Linked DNA regions of Bombyx mori. The protein of the gene in region 1 binds, or shares a complex with, the protein of each later gene. Links are inferred from orthologs where the notes say so. Each region holds a gene or a part of one and is shown in the gene's direction. Other genes may lie near its edges. The genes, in order: pre-mRNA-processing factor 17 and pre-mRNA-splicing factor RBM22.

What was found.
Region 2: pre-mRNA-processing factor 17 (region 1) and pre-mRNA-splicing factor RBM22 share a complex: the UniProt entries of both Homo sapiens proteins name them as parts of the postcatalytic spliceosome P complex. The link is inferred for Bombyx mori from reciprocal best matches to the Homo sapiens genes CDC40 and RBM22.

The regions. Positions count from the first base shown.
Region 1 is NC_085115.1:1,470,816-1,482,145, forward strand, and holds the end of pre-mRNA-processing factor 17, read left to right. Parts: intron 1-8,030; coding exon 8,031-8,208; 3' UTR 8,209-8,228; downstream 8,229-11,330. Other genes in the region: 5-aminolevulinate synthase, non-specific, mitochondrial, read right to left, coding at 8,318-9,841. UniProt on the Homo sapiens protein: Required for pre-mRNA splicing as component of the activated spliceosome. Plays an important role in embryonic brain development; this function does not require proline isomerization.
Region 2 is NC_085127.1:4,263,483-4,274,738, reverse strand, and holds pre-mRNA-splicing factor RBM22, read left to right. Parts: upstream 1-4,194; 5' UTR 4,195-4,370; intron 4,371-4,444; 5' UTR 4,445-4,488; coding exon 4,489-4,542; intron 4,543-4,613; coding exon 4,614-4,667; intron 4,668-4,738; coding exon 4,739-5,229; intron 5,230-5,568; coding exon 5,569-5,742; intron 5,743-6,248; coding exon 6,249-6,391; intron 6,392-6,626; coding exon 6,627-6,739; intron 6,740-7,126; coding exon 7,127-7,327; 3' UTR 7,328-7,407; downstream 7,408-11,256. Other genes in the region: WD repeat domain 61, read right to left, coding at 134-321, 537-772, 1,225-1,385, 1,767-1,891, 1,966-1,983; secretory carrier-associated membrane protein 5, read right to left, coding at 10,788-10,943. UniProt on the Homo sapiens protein: Required for pre-mRNA splicing as component of the activated spliceosome. Involved in the first step of pre-mRNA splicing.

The DNA.
Region 1 (11,330 bases):
AGGCAGGGCGGTGGTACCTACCCGTGGGGACTCACAAGACGTCCTACCGTCATTTAGTACGCAAATTGTAATTTTGCGGGTTTGATTTTTATTACACGATGTTATTCCTTAACCGTGGAAGTAAATCGTGAACATTTGTTATGTACATATTTCATTAGCAAAATTGGTACTTACCCACCTACCTACCTACCTGATTCAAACACCGATTAATACAAATGCACCAGGCGTCTTATCCTTTTGAATATTACTTTTAAACATAGAAATATAAAATTAGAAATAATCACTTTTAAACGTTAAGATATGGAATAGCATCGCAATGAACTAAAAATCCCTTTTAAGTAATTTTTTGAAAAAATAACATTAAAACATAAAAAGGTTTAATTAATATCTCTAAATAAGGTTTCCGTGTTCCGTTCGTTTGCTCACAATTCTAGTAGTTTCTAGAATAAGCGTTGCTCGTAAACAAAAAAACAAGTATGAAACAATGATTTTATTTGAATATCAAAATATGATAAATAAAATAAATTACCATTGTTATTATACATATTTAAATTTTGCTTCGTCAATTACATCCGTATCTAACGTATTGTTTAACGAAGCTTGAACACCTGTGTATAGTCAAATGAGATAAAACATATATATTTTTTGTATTGCCACATTTAACCGAGGTTTTGTGATCCGAAGTTTTGAAAAATCATTTATATACACAATATTAATATGCTTTAATGTTTTAGCATTCTGAAATACCGATAGGCGATAAGCGAGCTTTATGTACCAATAAAACGAGTCATGAACTTTGCTATGTTGAGTGAGCAAAAGTAATGTACTGTTAGAAGAAAAGAAAAAAGTTGGATCACAAATTTGAAGTTCTTTTTTTATTTTTTTCATTTTTTTCCACCTATGCTGATAGCCTGAGAGCTATTTCAGCTTCAACCATCGCCATATCCATATTAAAATACGGGTCGAATGTTTTCGTATGAAGTTTTCATGAGTCAAAATTGTTTTGCAATTATAATATGGCGATGTCGTTCGGTTCATTGTGACGCGTGGTTTATCAAAATGTACCAGTCAAAACATATCATAGCTTAAGTCGCGTCCATAACTATAGATCACAATAGTATTGTTTCGAGCAATGATTAGCCCTCCTTGGAAACTCTTACGCATTGACAGGCTTTATTAAAAACGAAGTTTACGGGCAAAAATAATTAGGTTAGTACTTTTTATCATGCCCGAAGATTGTTACCATCAATTGATAAAAATTAGGTTACATGGTAAAAAGATAAATTGCGTTCGAAATAATGAAACAAAAAGAGACGATTTTATTTATTTATTTAACTTTGTGGTCAAAATTACAGTGGCGAACATAATTCCTAAGGCATTACTTATCAGTCAAGCAAGGGTAGTGTAGAGACCGCTATGGAAGGTGCATTTCTTTTTGAGAAAAAGAAGGAACAAAATATATTTCGTGTGTATTTTGTATATGATTTTTGTTTTGTTTTAAATAAAATAATTATCACAGCCCTCTCTATACAACCTTTGGTTGACTGGTAGAGAACGCCTTAGGCATTATGTCCGCCGCTATACTCATGTGAATAAAGTCTTCTTCTTCTTTTTCTCCACTTTATCCCACTCACTCCTCTCTCTCTCATAACGTCATTCACACACTCCATCCATATCTTCTTCGGTTGACCTCTTCCCCTTCTAACATTTCCATACATCTCCTAGTCACATGCATCTTCTCTCATGTGAATAAAGTATAAGAAATAAATAATAATATACTGCGTGGTTTAGCTCATTAAAAAAAATCTATCTGTATGATTAATGCGAGCTATTTTACTGTTTGTATTTGTTTAATAATGTAATTAGTGCCAACCTATTCGCGTTTGAATCTGGCCTTGTGCACCGCGCTGTGTCTTTAGTTCAGCTATTTACAATTTGACGTTGAATTTGACCTTTTGGCCAGATATTATAATGAGCGGTCCGCCTATAAAGTAGTTTATTTCTGACGGTCAAAGACAAATTTTCTTGAATTAATTAAATAGAAGAGAACATGCTTTATTGGATATCGAAGTTAGTGAGGTTTTGTGAGAGAAACTGATACCTCAACTGTTACTGGAGCACATAGACATTTACAACGTAAATGCGCCACCCACCTTGAGATATAAATTCTAAGGTCTCAAGTATAGTTACAACGTTTGCCCCACCCTTAAAACCGAAACGTATTACTGCTTCACGACAGAAATAGGCAGGGTGGTGGTACCTACCCGCGCGGACTCACAAGAGGTCCTACCACCAGTAAAAAACTTCACTTCGCTTAAGACTTATCTACGCCAAAAAATCTGATACATTTTTTACTACGTGTTATCAATACGTAACGCGTAAAGAATGCCAATAATCCATTAAACGAATCGATTTTAGAAGATACCGTACAAGCGTCAGAGTTTGGAATTCAAATCTTATACCACACTATTTTAAGGTTGAATTGAGAATGGGTAAGTCGCACTATGGGGAACAAGTTTGGTAGAATATCCGTTTTAATTCACGTTGAATATGTTTTGTTTCAATATTACTACTACAATCTATATCTATACTAATATTATAAAGAGGAAAGATTTGTTTGTTTGTTTGTTTCGCATAGGCTCCGAAACTACTGGACCGATTTGAAAAATTCTTTTTCCATTAGAAGCCGACATTGTCCCTGATGAACATAGGCTACTTTTTTTTAATTTTTTTTAATTTTTTTTTTTTGGTTTCCTGTTTGTTTTAATGTTTCCGAAGCGAAGCGAGGGCGGGTCGCTAGTAACTTAGAGGTGGGTGGCGCATTTACGTTGTAAATGTCTATGGGCTCCAGTGACCACTTAACATCAGGTGGGCTGTGAGCTCGTCCATCCATCTAAGCAATAAAAAAAAAAAAAAAAAAAAACTTAATAAACTGAAAATGAGGCCGTCAGCGCAAAAGAATCTTAATCCACAATTTTTCATATTCTTGCTTAAATGTGTTTTGCAATTTATTTAAAAGATAATAAATATATTTTGGTGCAAAGCCGGCTTATCCCTAGTTTCGCCCTTAGATAACAAGATGGCTTCGTAAACATTACTTTTGCGCGCATTGTTTTTTCCTACGAAGCAGTTTAAAAGTATATTCTAACCTCATTATCTCCAGACGGTAAGCTATGGAAACAAACAAAATCTTTCAAATAGATATTATTAACAACGTTATCGTTAAAGATTATTTAATACATAATTATTCTACATATTATTATATTACGTAACATCAGTGTGTTAAGGGAATTATTCGAAGTAAACTAATTTAAAGAGAAGCTGATTTGAAAGTAGCTGTTAACAAAAATAGTGGTCAATAATAAGTATGTGACTAGGTCGCCCAGGTGAAGTTTACACCAATCTAGTTTTTCGTGTGGACGTTAGTTCATAGGACCTGAGAAATAGTTTCGACTGTAATCTTTTGTTATAGAACGAGGTACAATTCGCCATAAAACAGATTCTATCTACTATATCAAGCTGCTACATCAAAGACTTGTATTTTTTTGCTTAAATGGGTGGACGATCTCACAGCCCACCTATTGTTCAGTGGTTGCTGGAACCCATACACATCTACAACATAAATGCGCCACCCACCTTGAGATACGAGTTCTAAGGTCTCGAGGAAATAGGCAAGGTGGTGATACCTACCCGCGCGGACCAGTAATTACGCAAATTATAATTTTGCGGGTTTGATTTTTATTACACGCTGTTATTCCTTCACCGTGGAAGTCATTCGTAGACATTTGTTAAGTACTTTTGCATATTTAAAAGAATGTTCGTTTGTAATTAGCATTAGCAATTATTTAGCATTTTCTATTAATATTTCAACAAAACAGTAATCTAATGTACATTTTAATTCAATTAGTATATATTATATTAGGACAACTTTTTTAATTGTTTTGTTGTTTGGATCCGGTTTTGTCTGGACACTGCAAACTGTTTACAGTATCGTTTGTTTTATAAAATCAATTTATGGATCGATTGATTGATACGCGTACTGTATTTAAACTATAGTTTCCTTCACGAAGACAAACTTAAGCACTATAAAATTCTATGTTTCTCGTCCAAACTATTTTCCTGTTCGAATTCGCTTTGGTGTAACGCCCATGTATTTCTTGTGCAGAATGCTAAAGTGCGTCATTAGTAAACACGAAACATTGCACAAATAGATTACGTGGTTATTCAATCAAAATCCAATTAATGTTGTAATGATGGTCATTATATTAGTTCAGTCATTATGTATTCCGTTCTGGGTTTTTATATATTTATTGTTCTGCTCCTTAGACTCCCGTATAGCTTCTTTAAACGAGGCTTGTAGGGAGTATTAAGCGGTAGACAGCGGCTTGGCTCTGCCCTGGCATTATTGAAGTCCGTGGGCGACGGTATCCACTCACCATAACATGGGCCATGTACTCGTCTGCCTACACGGGCAATAAAATAAAATACCTCATACCTCCAACACGTCTAAAAGAGTCGCGTTGATAAGTTTGCGCCGTGCTCTGACCAAAGACACGAACGAATCAGCCCGCTGAGTTTCTCGCCCAGATCATCCATCCGCCAAAATCAAAGTTAGTTACATCCCCAAAAAAAAAAACCAAGACCAAAGATAAGGTCACCACCAAAAATAAGGTCAGGACCAAAGATAAGACTCACTGTCTGTGAGTTCTTATAATTGTTTAATCTAGAAAATGGATCGCTGACCCTGCTAAAGGAATTACAAGGAAAATTACATTTTATATTGTATCACTCGCCGACTGCACCATTTCGATCTCCCATAGATTTTTTATTGGATGATTAGTGGATTTGTGCATCAACAAAACCCAGCCCACTGAGTTTCTCGCCGGATCTTCTCAGTGGGTCGCGTTTCCGATCCGGTGGTAGATTCTGCGAAGAACTGCTCTTGCTAGGGTCAGTGTTAGCATCACTCCGGTTTGAGCCCCGTGAGCTCACCTACTAGTTAAGGTTACGCTGAAATAGCGTAAAAAAAAAACATAATTTTTAAAATGTTTTTGAAACGTGTCTTTTAATGCACAAGGATGGTCGCTGTTCTACTGCAAGGTTTTGCAAATGCCCGAACGGCAATAATATAGGTTGGAGTCAGTTAAATTAATCGCTCAATCATGAAAATATTTCTTTAGGTCCATCAACTTTCGGAGAAGAAAAGTTTTATTTACTTTTTACCGTTAAAGCTATTTACAGAGTTGCAGGGTGCACGGCCGATAATATTTGTTACAAAATACTACGTTAATAGAATGTTGGACTATTTTAGATGCGACAATCACGTTGTTACCCCGTGACTAAAGAAAAGTTTTATTTACTTTTTACCGTTAAAGCTATTTACAGAGTTGCGGGGTGCACGCCCGATAATATTTGTTACAAAATACTACGTTAATAGAATGTTGGACTATTTTAGATGCGACAATCACGTTTTTACCCCGTGACTATTATGTAAAGGCGCGTATTGCTAAACGGCTCACGGTTTTGGCAGCGGCTACTAAAATTTTGGCTTGATGCCTCGATAAGATACATTGATAGGGGTTATCATCTGATAAACAAAGGTTTGGATGCGTTTCATCAGTACGATGGTTATAGTTTTTCTAATCTTAGATTAGTAAAATGTAGGTCTGTTTTAGCTAATCGTTATTAATGTCACAATTGCCGTTAACTTTTAGTATGCCAAACTAATTCTGATTACATATAAATCAACAAGAGAAAGTGTCGAAATAGCGACCTCCCGATACTTGCGTTCAATTGCTGGACTATTATCGGGTTTTATTACCAATCGGTCTTATCGAAAGAAAAGGAAAAAAAAACCAGTAGGTAGGTATGCAATTATTCGGAGTTCAATAACCCATTCACAGTTTGATAAACAGTTAGGTAACTATGTATCTTTTGTAGTCTTTATTGAGTTTTAAACTAGGTATATTTCGTGGTATCGATTTGTGTCAGCATTTATTACTTCGGTGATACTAAACATGACAATGTATATTCATTCCTTTTTTTATTACCAAACGTTACCTCGTTTCACTTCATAAAGTTAATGACTTAGTTAATTATCGTGAAATGAGAAATGCTTGTTTAACTTGTTCAAATGTTTCTATGTAGTTTGTTATTAGTGTACACTTTTGGCTGACGTAATTTTAGGATCATACCAATGCCATATATTTTTCAATACAGTAACATCCGTTCATAACCGATCAATGAACAATTATAAATGACGTATCTCTTTATCCACTCGACATTGGGGGAATAAATGTCCGTGGTTATTTCCATAATAATGGAAACACTTGAATAATAAAAAATACTTTAATTTGGTTTGACCATTACATAAACCGATATTTTTGTACGTTCTGTGTAGTCAAAGTTGTATTAGATTAGGCATACAACAGTGATGTGTTGTTGATAAAAAAAACAGTGACCTCTTTATCGTTATGACGAAAGGGGCCATAACTAACGAAGGCATTTTTCATGCCATGGTTATTTAACACGAGTTGCTAAAATACAACTGGCCCTTTTTAATTGTCTCTGTAGACAGACGAGGGACATGTTGGTGAGTGTTGGTTCATGGACGTCAGAAATTCTCGAGGCACAGACAAGCCGCTAACAGCTAAAAACTCTTCCAATTAAATATGAAGAACATGCGCTCAGAATCACCGTAAACGTCTTAAGATTTTTTTTTTTTTTTTTACATCACCGGATTTCCGCCAGCATTTTATGACCGATAGACCGGGCATGTCGTAATTAAACCGATTAAAATCCCCTATCTCTCAATAACCAGGCTCAGACCAGACAAATTCACCCGAGACGGGCTGGTGGCAAAGTTACCGACGCATGTCTCCCCGCCATCCGTAGAATTCTATTCACATTTACTCAGCACAAAAGTTACTATATAATGGCCTTATTTAGACGTACCCAGTTTCTAAGCCGCTTTTTTTGATCGTAATCTGTTCATTAATATCCATGTATTAACTTGAAATATAAGGAATAAGTTCAGAATTTTTTGAATAGTAATATTAAAAAAAAAACCTTAAGTTATTAGTTGCCGGTATGTGAAATAGTGAACTTATTGTTAATTCTCTTGCTAGGGCAGATGTTAGCAAAGTTGCCAGGTTAATTCCCGTGAACTAAACCATACTAGCATAACCCCTCGAGGTTACTAGCACTAGATAGGCAAAAAATAATAATGTTGATTCATATTGTCATCAAAGAACTAGATCGTAGAACAATATTTTTGTAATACTTGGTACGAATACGTGGTTTATTCTAATGAATTAATTCTACAGACGACCTTATTTATTGAGGTCATTCTCGTTTTCTCCCCTTTGTTTTAAATTGAAGGTTTTTGTAGTTAATTTCGTTATTACGTGCGTATAAGTGCTGATTCAATAATTGCTCTTTAAGTTTCTTTAGGTCAAATGCTGTGTGCTGGAATACTTTCCTTATTATGGCAGCTACTTTTGAGATATATTATATAATGATTTTAACGAACAAATGATTTTATAATCATTATGCTCTTAAAAACCGTCAACGTAAAGGATATATTTTACTATTTTTTTCTTCTGTCCAGTCGACATGAGGTTTTACTAGTGGTAGGACCTCTTGTGAGTCCGCGCGGGTAGGTACCACCACCTTGCATATTTCTGCAGTGAAGCAGTAATGCGTTTCGGTTTGAAGGGTGAGGCAGCCGTTGTAACTATACTTAGACCTTAGAACTTATCTCAAGGTGGGTGGCGCATTTACGTCGTAGATGTCTATGGGCTCCGGTAACCACTTAACACCAGGTGGGCTGTGAGCTCGTCCAACCATCTAAGCAATAAAATAAATAAAAAAAGGGTGAGATGTCTCAATTGTAGCCTATAGTTGTTTCATCATTACACTCCTAAATAGTTTATCAACAGAAATTTTAATAAGAGGCAGTTGTATGTGAAATGCAATAATTAAATTGTTAATTGTGTATTTAATAATTAATCTTTCCTAATTGTTTACAGTTATTTGGTGTCGGGTGACGCGGACGGGAAATGCTACATTTGGGATTGGAAGACGACGAAGCTTTATAAGAAGTGGAAAGCTCACGACGGAGTTTGCATAACCTCACTGTGGCACCCACATGAGCCCAGCAAGCTGCTTACCGCGGGCTGGGACGGCGCCATCAAATACTGGGACTGAATAAAACAATCAAAACCATTGCCATGCATTTAATTTTTTTTTCCCTAACCATCAACCATAATAATTCAAATAAATAAAAATTTCGCTAGTTCAAGGTCAAGGTCAAGGTCTAGGCGACTTGCATCGGGTATTTGAGGGGCTCCTCGTAGCCGATGTCCACCTTGTACTCCATGCTGCATTCGCGGCAAGTGCCGTTTATCATAAACTCACTGAAGCGTATGTTATTCTCATGGAATGATTCAATGAGTGCCGTGATCAGGTTGTCTATCATTTCGGGCGTGTGGTAGGGGCCCGGCGCGAACCGCAGCCGCTCATCGCCGCGCGCCACCGTGGGATAGTTGATAGCCTGCACGTAGTGGCCCCTCTTCATTAGAGATTCGGCAACGAGGGCCACTTTATCGGCCCCTTTGATAGGAACGGGCACTATGTGACTCACGGATGGTAACTGTGGCAAACCGGCCACGAGCAATGACAGTTTCAAATAGCGCACTATGGCCTGGTGCTTAGCTCGTAGATTCCGTCCTTCTTCACTAGCTAAAAGCCTTATAGCTGCCAGGGAGCCAGCCAGAACCGGTGGCGGTAATGCTGTAGTAAAAATGAAACCCGGTGCTAGAGACCTTATAGTGTCCACCAGGAGGGAGGAACCTGCGATATATCCTCCGACATTACCATAAGCCTTTCCCAGTGTCCCCGATACAATGTCTATTTTGTCTTGCAAACCTCTCTCTTCTCCTATACCCGCACCATGTTTTCCATACAAGCCAACAGCATGCACTTCATCAACAAAAGTTAAAGCTCCATAATCATGTGCTATATTGCACATTTCTTCTAAAGGACATATAGCACCACTCATGGAATGAACAGTTTCAAATACAACTAGCTTTGGTACACCTTTGGGAGAGTCGGCCAATAACTTCCGTAGGTGGTTTGGATCGTTGTGCCTGAAGATATGCTTAGGGGCTCGGCTGTTCCGGATTCCTTGTATCATAGAAGCATGATTTCCTGCATCCGAGTAAACTATGCAATCAGGCAGTATTTTTGCTAATGTAGATAAAGTAGCGTCGTTAGCTACAAAGCAAGAACTAAATATTAATGCTGCAGGCTTCTTATGCAGTTTTGCAATTTCTCCTTCAAGCTTCTCAGTCATCTGGGAGTTTCCAGCAATATTCCTTGTACCACCTGCTCCTGTTCCATAGGATTTGATAGCGTTGACAGCAGCATCCTGCACAGTTGGGTGACGGGACATCCCTAAGTAATCATTGGCACACCAGACAGTTACTCTACGATTTTCAGGCCCCTCCAGGGCTTTCGGATATACTCCATCAGCAGCCAAACGAGACACCTTTCTAAAAACGCGATAGGAGTAGTCCCTTTTTTTAGCGTTGATCTGGTCGTGGAAAAAGTTCTCGTAGTGGTACGGAGTCGCAGGTTCCGCGATGTCCTCGGTCATTTCCTTAGGAGCTTCCGAAATGATAGAGTTTTGCTGAATGAAGGGGCATTTGGTTTCGTCATTTCCCAAAGAACGAAATCCACGAGATATAATCGGGCAATAATTTCCGTACTGCTTCATCAGGGTCGCACCATAATTTTTCACGAACGCTTGGTTCAACGATCCCAAAAACGGACAAGGCATTTTACGATTTTTATGTAATCGATGACACAAAACACTTATGAAACTTGTTGAAGTTGGAAATAATTTATTTAAGGATAACTAAACGTTGGCTCTCACTGTAGCCGAACGTTCCACTGTGGTCTGTGACCGATCAACTGGGAGCTCAGCTGACAGCGACTTTCATTTATAAAGTTTGTGTCGTCATATCGATTTGAACGTACTTTTGCTGAGCTCCCGCAGTCATACACACTACAAAATTTATTTTGATTTGATTTCGTAAGCTTAGTGTTGCCAAATAGCTAATGTCATTTGGAATTAAATATCAACAATATTGAACGATTTAATTGTATCAAAAGTATATTAAGAAGAAATTTATTTAATAATTGCATTACTTTTATCCATGATAATTCTTAACTTGTTTTGTAATTCAGTAAAATTTAGTTTTAGTTGTAATTTATGAAACTTAAATTCACAATCGACTAAATAGATTTTGATGCTGAATGAAGTTTTGACAGTATAGCTTTATTTTTCCAACTGGAAAAGCAAAGGTGTAGTACCATACAGTCTAATTTCATATATATATTTATGCATTTTCACAAATACTAAACAGTTAATAAATCATCGTTAGTACACATTTAAACCTGAAGAAATATTAAATAGACAAAAAAACCAAATCATACAAGTTCACTCTTCGTGCTCTCGCCAAAAAGTCCTGTCAATTCAGTCTTAATGCATAGATAATACACAATATTTCTAATGCCGGCCACTCACATGCGGGCAAATATTCGTACATTGTACGAATGTTTGCGCTCATGTGAAGGGCCGTCAAACATTCATTCGCAAACTTAGCAGCTGTGCAAATGGGTTCGCATACTCAATTTGCGAACCCGTTTGCGCTTCCTCCTACACTTGTTTACGAATGTCTCACGAATTTCTCCTCCTTTTTAATTCGTCAATAGAACATTGAAAAGAAAAAGATTTTTGAATTCTTTCCCAGACATCATTAACAGCTATGCTGTTTTTATGGGATTTCTTTTGATGAAGATACGCTACACAGTAGACGTCACGAACTATGAAAATGGCGATACGTCCGTTACCTTCGCAATCGTCGGCGCAACTGGGCAAGCGAATGTGTGGGAGACTACGTGAAGGTTCGAGGTTCGCGCGCTTTGATGTCTTTTAAAAAAACGACACAGCTTGGAAAACCACGAATGCAGCGAAAACTTTGCATAATCATTTGCAAATGTCGTTCTACATTTGCGGGTTTGCGTATTCGTGCGCATGTGAGTGACCGGTGTAATGCCAATGTGAAAATCTGGGACTTTTTGGCGGTGGTTTATCAACTGTTTAGTATCTGTGAAATTGCACAAATGTGGGAAAATAAAATAAAGCTGCTGGACATAACTTCTCGGGATCCTCCAAAAAGTCCACTGAAAGAGTCTCAGTAAATGACCACTATTTTACCGAGATTATATTTCATCCCATATCTTCGCATCATAATTCATTTCAT
Region 2 (11,256 bases), on another chromosome or scaffold:
TGCACATGCTTAATTCTATAGGTTCATGTAGGCCTGTTTAGCCTTAGATAAGAAAAAAAAGCGATAGAGATGGAGTTCTTGTTTTGGAAACCAATACTAAAGTGTGAGTAAAAAAATATTAAAATACACATACACATCATAAAGTTTCATATGACCATCATCCGAGCCAGTCAATAAAAGCTGTGAATCTGGAGAGAAACATAAACTTCTAATAGACATTGCATGTCCTTCAAGGGTATGTACTAATTTTCCTTGAGCCACATCAAAGATATTGATAATTCCATCTAAGGCTCCGCTGGCAATGTATTTCCCATCAGGGCTCTAAAAAGCAGAAATTTAAAATTATTAAATTCTCTTAAATTAATTAATTAAATTGCTTAGAGGCATTCAATACCTAATAGACCATCTACTCATTTACATACATACATTACAGTACAACTGTGCTGTTGTATTCTTTATTCCGTATACTGATAATAAGTGAAGACTCACTGGGGCAAGTTGGTAGTTTATTTAAATAATTTATTAAAATTACTTACGTAAGCCACACTAAGAGTGAATTTCCCCCTGGTGTCCAATACTTGCTCCTGTTTACCACTTTCAACTCCAAAAATGAGTATTTTCCCTGCATTGCTTCCAGAAATAACATGTTTTCCATCTGGTGAAAAGTCTAAAGTCCAAACGTCGGTGAGTCCAGTTTCAAACATTTTTAGTTTTTCACCCGAGATCAAATTCCATAGTATCAATGATGAATCCTGTGAGCTGCTTGCTAAGGCTAAAATTACATTTAGCTTATGTACAAAAGTTAAAGAGTTATTGCTCAATGAGTATTTTTTGTAGTGTACCAATTAAAATTCAACACAAGTTGGGTTAATTTTGATGATGTTAATTATTGATTTATTTCATAGACTATATGAGTCGTCTATTATCAAAGGTGGCAATCTGTGCATTTGGACAAAAAAAATTTATTGATATGTCAATACAGATTGATTTGAATATAATCATCTCCTTTAAAGAATACGGTTCAAAACCTGCATTAAATAAAGGTTAATAGTTAACCTGTTATTTATCTAAGATGTTGTTCCGAAGAGTTTTGTGACTGTCAATGGAATACAAAGTCAATAATTCGTTTTTCTGATTTACCAATCATTGTCCAAAAGTCAGATTGCCGGCTTTGATAATAGTGGACTCATATTACCAAATTGTCTTGATAGATCTGACACATACTTTTCCCATCGGGGCTAACCGCAACTGAAATCACTCCTAAAGAATGTCCTTCGAGCTGGTGCTTAATTTCTAGTTTCCCGTTATCTAATTGCCACACTTTTATGTAGTCATCCAAGCCACCGGTTATAATGTAATTTTCTGCGGATTCCTTCTGAGAGTCCCTGTAATATTAAAATGTTAATTTTAGAATCTTATGAATTTCTGTTCACGTATTTATTAACTTTTTTAATACAATTACAATCAAAATATTATCATGATATTGCTTGAATATCAAGGTTTCAATTTATCAAGCAATTATAATTCATTCATAACACTACAATAAGTTAATATTAAAACTGTTTTCTTTTCATGTTACATTATGTTTAGGTTTCATAGGTTGTATTTAGTACTTTAGGCCAGGTTAGTATAATTAATATTCTATTACAGTATAAGTTCATATGATGCTTACCACTTTAAGATCTTTTTAAATTACTAAATTATATTTATTTTAAAGTTTATTTCTGAAGCTTTTATTAGTGGCATATGGAATTAGGATTACTTACTGTAATTCCTCTGCGTTTTCTGTATCATTTTCGCCTTCTTTCGGTTTCTCGGGTTCTATCCTACTCCAAGTACAACACCAAATTGCATCCTCGTGTGCATTTTCTTTTTTCAATTGTAAATAATACTGAAAAAAGGTTTGACTTAAAATCGGAACCGGTGTTTAATTACTGAAGAATTATGTACACATTTAAATTATACCAGAGTTGTAATGGACATGATTACTAGAAGCCCGAAGCGCGATCTTAAAACCTTTAGTTTCCTAATTAAAACAAATAGTGTACATTATTTCGGAATTTTCGAATTTTACAATTTTTTGAGCAACTTTTCATAGGTACCAATTAGGGATGTAACGCGTTTGAAGAAAACCGGAAAAACCGGTTTTATAGATAAATAAATTATTTAAGAATATCGGTTTTTAAAAACACGTTACATTCACAATTCACACCACTGCTAGCAGATCAAATATACAAACTACCGTGCTGCTAAATAAAAAATGCCGTGTTTGAGATTCAAATTACCGTGCATTACATTTAAAAACTACAGTACAGTTTGAAAAAAATACAATAGTATTAAATCAAAACTAAAAAGCTTTTTATTATTGGATAATATAAGATCATTAAGCTTATATAAAATATGCTCACCCTATTAATTGTATGAAGAAAACTCTTCATTTGCATGTAAATTTGTTTTATTTAATGATTATTTAGCCTTTATGGAAAAAACCTAAAAATACCTTAAAAAACCGGTTTTTTGAGAAACAAATCAGTAATAAACCTGAGCCAGAAATTGTAATTTTTAGTTTAATTTCTTGAATCAATGAGGCAAAAGAAACATGATTCATATGCATGTACGTGTGACATATATCTTGAAAGGTGGACAATTTTGCAATACTTGACGTGATAGACATTACTTATCTTTTCCGTAAGATTGGGAATATTTACTGATGCCAACCCAGACCCTACAGGAAGTCAATCAGACCCTCCAGGTTTCCGATCCTGACCAGTGATCTTAGAATCCTTAAGTATTTTACCCGCTAGCTTACAAATCTATTACACTTCAGTATGATACCGTTGCCCTCTGAGAAAACGCTTGTATCCACTGTCCATGATACTGGTGGTACGATGATTTGTTAGTCCGCACGGGTAGGTACCACCTTACTTATTTCTGCCGTGAAGCAGTAATGCGTTTTAGTTTGAAGGGTGGAACAGCCATTGCACTGTAAAAACTAAGATGTCTCGAAGTGGGTGATGGCATTTACGTTATAGATGTCTATGAGCTTCGGTAACCACTTAACACCGGGTAGGCCGTTGGCTCGTCAAAAAAAAACTTTGTATCCATCCGTGAAGATGGTTTGGTATTAGGTTCAAATTTGTCTCCTCAAGCAATAATTCTACTAATACTTTTCTAATTAATTTCTCATGTGCCCTCTCTCAGTAGTACATTTATTCGTTATGGGATTTTAGTTATAAAATTTCATCGTAAGATTTAAGTAATAGATCAATAACTATCCAGAATTAAGTATTCTATTTTTTTTATTGCATAGTTGGGTGGACGAGCTCACAGCAAACCTGGTGTTACCTGTTACTGGAGCCCATAGACATCTACGACGTAAATGCGCCACCCACCTGAGATATCAGCTCTAAGGTTTCAAGTATAGGGCTGCCCCCACCCTTCAAATCGCATTACTGCTTCACGGCAGAAATAGGCAGGGCGATGGTACCTACCCATAAGGACTCACAAGAGGTCCTACCACCAGTAATCATAATAAGACCTGAAGGTGATTATTCGAAATGTAATGAAAATTAATAGAAAGTAGTAAAAACAGAAGTTAAACACAGAAAGAACTCAAAACTCAAACAACCTGAGAAACATTGCTAATTCTACACTGTTTCACTGTTTCTGCTCAGCTCACCATAACATAACCTAGTACGGTTAAGTACCAAGAGTCTTTCTATTTCGCTATGAAGTTTTTTATTTATTTAAAAAGTGGAAAAAGAATGGAAACATCGACCTGGTGTTCCAACGCCGGCAGTGACGGCCATTTGACTTATAAAGCTGAAAACTGGAAATTGATATAGCATTTTATAGCTTCGTTGACTTGTTGAACAATTTTAGTCAAATTACGTAAGTGTTGTAGTAGTAGCAAATTAACGATATTAGTGATCTGAGGAAATGGCTCTTAGTAGCACCGCTCTTTTGATATTTTTTAATTCCTATGAAATTTGCATTTCCTGCAGAGAATTCCCCTTTTACTGAAAGATTATTTGAATTGATTTCCTTTGAAGTCCAAGTAGTTCAACTACTTTAGTCATAGAGTTTCTTAATTCTACATAGAATAGGCTTGGCTTTACTTTCCATTGCAAAAGAACTGTATGCTCTTGATTTCTTTGTCTGTTTAAGCGAAAAAAATCAATAATCTCTATGTTCATCCCAGTGTCGACTGTCGACGGTTCAGTGCCATAGATTATACACTTTCAGTGCTGTTCGTTCAGAGTGAAAATCTGTCATTACAAAATGAATGTTCAATGACGTACCTTGGTAACTAAATACTTTTGTGATTTAGTTGCATGTAGAAATGGGAAAGAAGTGTTTTGTTTGATAGGGTAATTTAAACTAAATTACATTTCAACTTTACAATACAAATTACATTTCAATTCAACAATTATTTTTGTCACAGTTAAGCTGCGTTGAATCTAAAATAATATCAAGAAAGGACACGCCATGGCTACATCGAAGTCAACAAACACATACAATCGTCAGAATTGGGAAGACGCCGTGAGTATATTGTTGAAGCTTATCAATTATCATTATCTCATTGTGGTAGTAACCATGTTATATTTTTGCAGGATTTTCCAATATTGTGCCAAACATGTCTTGGAGATAACCCTTACATTAGAATGGTATGTATTGTGGTTTCCGATAACATTATTTCGACAACTTTGATTGTTTTTTTTCATTTAACTATTTTCAGACTAAAGAAAAATACGGTAAAGAATGTAAAATATGCTCAAGACCTTTCACAGTGTTTCGATGGTGTCCCGGAGCAAGAATGCGTTTCAAGAAAACAGAAATATGTCAGACCTGTTCGAAACTGAAAAATGTTTGTCAAACATGTTTATTGGATTTGGAATATGGTCTGCCAATCCAAGTGAGAGATGCTGCATTAAAAGTTCAGGATGACCTACCTCGAAACGAAGTAAACAAGGAATATTACATACAAAACTTGGAGAGTCAGCTGTCTAACTCTGATCCAACACAGCCAACCAATTCTCTAAAATCTAAAGGATCGTCCGATTTGTTGGTGCGGTTAGCTAGAACAGCTCCATATTATAAGAGGAATAGACCGCACGTGTGCTCGTTTTGGGTCAAAGGAGAATGTAGACGAGGGGAAGAATGTCCGTATCGTCACGAGAAGCCAACAGATCCTGATGATCCACTAGCTGATCAGAACATTAAAGACAGGTTAGTCACATAAGTTTTCTGTACATCTGCTTAGTGAAAATAAAAATAAACACGTCTTTGTAAAGTGGAATTTTAGTAAATTGCATTACAAAAAGTCTTTCGATTTAAGGTATTCATAGATTTTGATCAATTATTCATTTGAGTTCCAAAAATGAACCAAATCCTGACTAAAGATTGCGAATTAATGAGGCTTAAGTTATTGAAACTCCATTGTAATAATAGTATGTGAAATAACAGCAATATCATAGTTGTTATTGAATATCTCTTGATATTTTACAGTAAATAGCTGTTAGTGTTTCTAAAAAAAAAGTTGAAGGTTTCATAATTTTTTATTCACAGGTATTATGGTGTAAATGATCCAGTAGCTGAGAAGCTTATGCGTCGTGCTGCTGCAATGCCTGCTCTACCTCCACCTGAAGACAAAACTGTTACTACCTTGTATGTTGGTAATCTTCCTGATAATGTCACTGAGGACGAGCTTAGAGGCCACTTTTACCAATATGGTGAAATTAGGTAAGTTTGACAAGTTAACACAACAAATAACAATGCTCTGGAAACAAACAGTTCATAGAAATAAACTCATAATTGTGTCTGGTGATATACACTGCATATATCTTAATTATGTTTTAATAATCTAAATATTTTTTTATTTAAATTATGCAGCTAATGTAAAGTATTCTCATATGTTCAGAGTTGACTAACTAATATTTAATTTAAGGATTATGTACCAAGTAAACCATAGTACATCCCTAGTATTATGGTTTTTAAAATAAGACCGATATCTGATTGGTGGTTATCTTAAGTTGCTACAACCATTTTTCTCATCAGTTCACAGTAGTATTCCCTTGTATTTTTTTATTATCTATTAATGTAATTGAGATTTTGATCATCATCACAAGGCTGATGAAATTAATGGTGTGATGTTGTCATTAGAAATGTGTGTATCATTAGAAAACAAATCACTATTCTAGACTTGTTTGATAAAATTAGCACTATGTTAGAAGTTATTGAATTTTCAGATGTTTGACTCTTGTACCTCGAGCCCAGTGTGCCTTTGTGCAATATACTTCAAGAAATGCTGCAGAACATGCTGCAGAAAAGACTTTCAATCGTCTTGTTATTTTTGGCAAGAGACTGACAATCAAATGGGGTAAATCGCAAGGTAACAAAACATTATTATTGCATTGTGCAAGTTTCTAAGAGAGTACCTGGTAACTACAAAATGTTAGAATACACTACATTTATGAAAAAGTATTCAATATGTTTTTTGCAAGTTATTTTCTGAAATGAGGTTTGTACTCAAACTAGTATAATTTAAAGACCTCAATCTGTAATATGATAGTAAAAGTTTATATTTCGTAATATTTATGAGTGTGTAATGTTGTTGTATATAACAGGACGACAAGGACTTACTGAGAAGAATGATGGTGTACCCATGTTGGAACCAGTTCCTGGATTGCCTGGGACGTTGCCACCACCCCCTGCATATTTACATCCATTCCCGCCACAAGTTAGTGTAAAAATGTTTTAAATTCTATGTAAAATATTTTACTTTTCTTCAAAGGATACTGAACAAAGCCTACTTTACTGGTGGTACTTAGCTTTACTGGTGGTAGGACCTCTTGTGAGTCCGCGCGTGTAGGTACCACCGCCCTGCCTATTTCTGCCGTGAAGCAGTAATGCGTTTCAGTCTGAAGGGTAGGGCAGCCATTGTAACTATACTGAGATCTTAGAACTTATATCTCAAGGTGGGTGGCGCATTTACGTTATAGATGTCTATGGACTCCAGTAACCACTTAACACCAGGTGGGCTGTGAGCTCGTTCACCCATCTAAGCAATAAAAATAAACAAAACTTAGAGACCGTATTTGTAATATTTTGTAAATTCTGTGTTCAGATGCCACCACCCCCGAACCGTCCGAACGATTTCTTCAACTTGCACCACTATGGTGGTCCGGGCTGGGGACCGTGGGGTCCGCCTGGCATGGCGCCGCCCCCGCCTCCGGCTCCGCTCCCGGCCCCGCTCCGCCTGCACTACCCTAGCCAGGACCCCGCGCGTCTCGGGGCCCACGCACACACCAACGCGCCGCAAATTTAGCAGTTGCTAATAGAATTCATAGTCATGAACTTTAAATTATGACGATGCTTGTTAAACGTGAATAAATCCAATAACTATGATTTGTGCATTGTTTGTTTGTGGTATTCTTTGTGTGAAATTTGAAAAATAAATTTAAGTAAGGTTCGATATAGAGTAGCCATTCCCAAAACGACCCAGTACCTTCAAGCTTAATACCTATAGAATAGTAAAATAAAGAATAAAAAAACGGAATTGAAGATGGTGGTGTGATCTAAATGAATTATTTTTAAATAAACGAGCACTGCTAAAGAAGATGGAAAGACGCCGTAACAATTTGCTAGTACTAGAGACCTTCATTCAAATTAAATGAAACTGACCTAACTAAAGAATGCTAGTAATGAAAAAGTTCTTATAAGTTTCTACATTTCTTTCATGTTAATATCAATAAAGGTTTCAAAGTAAAACAGATATTCTGAAACTATATTTATTATTAATCATAAGTTCATAACATTACTTAATTGTTACAAAACAGTTTAAACATTCTGATAAAACTACATTCCTTCGCTTACCATTTATTCTGGGTAAGGACGGTCTGTTAAATAATTTACATTAAACTAGGCCCAGATTACGTAATGAATCTTAATTAAGATGACGCACTAATTGTACGTCGCGACGATGAAACAATTTAAAAGCAGATTAATATTGGCTCAGAAAGCTGTTTAGTCGGTTGACTAGTTTTAAGAATATGCTCATATCCTAATTCTATACATATACATTATAGTGTTGTGCATCTAAGTCTCAGTGAAGGGCAAGAAGGATCATTCAGATTAACGGTAATTAACTATATATATATATATATATATATTTAAATGAACATCGAGAATACAAGTTACTACTAAATTAGAGACGTTAATAATTTATGTACACTTTGGAATGTTAGACACATCTAAAAGTTTAGTTTTAAAAATCGCTAAAGGTTTCGAACTCCACATCACAAATTATAATTTAGCATTAAACAGTATAGGGACACAAAAATATAGATATGCAAATATTGAGCCTGCTAAAATTCAATTGGTACATGTAATCGATACAATAAATATAAAAGTATTAAAAGCCTTGGGTGTTTATTGGATATTATTTTCTTAAAGCATATTTTGTAAGCTCTCGTCTCGTCCGGTAATAGTCTAATAATAATCGAACGTTGAATAAATGCGCTTTAAAATATGACATTAAAATATAAAAAAAATGCGCCAAATGAAATATTTCTAAGTACATAGGTTGCACAATATCTTACTAACTTACTGCAGCCGTTCATAATTATTTTCAGTATATATATATAGTATTTAATAAAATCTTATCTATAATTGCTGGAGTAATGTTAACATTTCGTCAAGAATAAAACAAATTACAAATAACAATAAAATTATGTTTGTATTAGTTTTACAATAGGGATCGCACAGCCAAGTAATAACAATGTTGCCGTTCAAGTATTTTAACGTGTTTTAAAGTGTTATTATGTTTCATAAATTAAGTGTTCGAGCTGTCCATCCTTATTGAAAGAAGGTTGTCATAATTATAGTCAATTATTAAAGACTTCGTTCACACGAATTGTTCTTCGATTTTGAATTTTCCATTCTTTTTTACCTGGGAAACAAATATGGTTTGTATGTATGGTGGTAGGACCTCTTGTGAGTCCGCACGGGTAGGTACCACCATCCTGCCTATTTCTGCCGTGAAGCAGTAATGCGTTTCGGTCTGAAGGGTAGGGCAGCCGTTGTAACTATACTGAGATCTTAGAACTTATATCTCAAGGTGGGTGGCGCATTTACGTTGTAGATGTCTATGGGCTTCGGTAACTGCTCAACACTAGGTGGGCCGTGAGCTCGTCCACCCAACTAAGCAATAAAAAAGAAATAATAGCTTAGTACTTAAAGTAATAGCAAGTTCATATATGGTGAATGCATAAGCTAAAACAAAACAGCTGGCGGACATAGCCCACGTGTCACAAAAGGTCGTTAACCTCGCAAGACCTAAAACTTCTTTAATTACTACCTACCTCTAACCAGTGCCGGATTAACCATGTAGCAAGAGTAGCAACTGCTACGGGCCCCGCGCGAACGGGGGCCCCGCATATTTAAACCCACTCATCTCTGCCCGAGCTTAATTTTTTGAGTGACTTATTAAGAAAAAGTTGTTTGTATAAACGTGTAGAATTTCAATCAGCCTGATAATCAGCTCTACAAAAGTCTGACGTATGCAAGCACTCTTACCCGACACAGTGTGGATGTGTAGCAGAATTGAGATGGCTCGATTTAAGTTGTTAAAATTATATATTTATTTGTAAGATTAACAGTCTACATTAATATTAGTATAATTTAGTAACCATATACCAAAAACTTATTATCTATTTATATATAGTGTATATTGAGATATAGAAGCTATGACTAAAAAAAAAATATTTTATTAGAGATTTCCTCCAATTGAATTTTTCATAACCATTTCGTAATCTTTATATAGTAAGATCATTATCAAATGCATCAGGAGCAATGCATAAAATAAACTATTTCCAGAACCAAAGAAGTTTAAATTCTAGACGCAAGAATCTCACGCATGTTTTTTTTTAAATATAATAATAGGTATCCTACCCCTTATCGCTACAATGGACACCCGACCAATGCAAATGATTCGCGAACGAAGTTGGTAACATTGAAAAATTAACCGGGGATTCCCTAACATTGCCATCGAGTATCGTAACAAACAATCAATTAAAATAAAGTTCTGTTATTGAATTATCTCGCTTTGATGAATATAGAATATGATTTGCTCAGAGAAATTGATACGAATCGTATCATTTCTCAATTTGCCCACATGAAATGTAGAAAAGTTACTTTGTAGAAGTTTAAAAAATAATAAAGGAAGCAAATAAATAAACATAAAACATAAACATTATTTAAAGTACACCATTGATATAATATAACATTAGTTATTCCTAAAAAAATTATATACTTTGCATTATTGAAAAGTGTATTGAAAATAATAATTTGTGTAGTATCATCAGTTTTCAATTGTTAGTTTCTTATAAAAAATATTCTATATAGCCAGAAAAGCTCAACTCTGGCTTTTTGTACTTGTCAGAGCCTAACAGCGCCTATAGTAATTTACTAAATACCCACAAAATTGTAACCTATAAGATGGCAAATAAACGTATAGACTATTGATTTGTTTTTTTACCACTTTATACTTAAGAACCCGTAATAGATCAAGGGCTCTTTGAAATAATTTGCTACGGGCCCCGCGCTTGCTTAATCCGGCACTGCCTCTAACATTTTAGCCTCAAGAATAGAAACAAATGAACAGGTTTCAGGGCATTGAAAATAACTATCCGTTATAATTTGATTACTACATTTCTGCTGAGGGTGGGGATTACTTTAAGCCCGCATAGCCGAGCGAGTGGTGATGTAGGTAGAGGGCGAGTTACCGTTTAGTACCGGTTGGCGCCGGCGAGCTGCGCGTTGACGGCGGCAGCGGCGGCGTCGGAGGCGGCGGTCTGCACGTGCTGGTTGCGCAGGATTTCGGTCGTGAACTCGGCCTGCGCCTTGGCCAGCGACGCGCCCGTCGACCTGTAGATGCGGTGCACCTGCCCGAAACGAACATTCTTCGTCAATCGTTTTTAAATAACCAGAAAACCAAAACAAATCTTCGGTCTGCTTCTGAATAATAATAACAAGTCTCAACAAAAAGTCGGTGGTGGCCCAAATGCAAAAAGCAGTCTTGCTGGACAATGCCCGTATAGTTCGCCGGTTTCTCGCCCAATAGTCCCTAAGGCCAGGTTCATATGACCGCGCGGTACAAGATCAATATAAACTGTGTTTATCGTTCACATAACCGCGCGGTGCGCTTCGACCCGCGCGCCAGGCGCGGTACAAGGTCTACAAAACTGTATCGACATG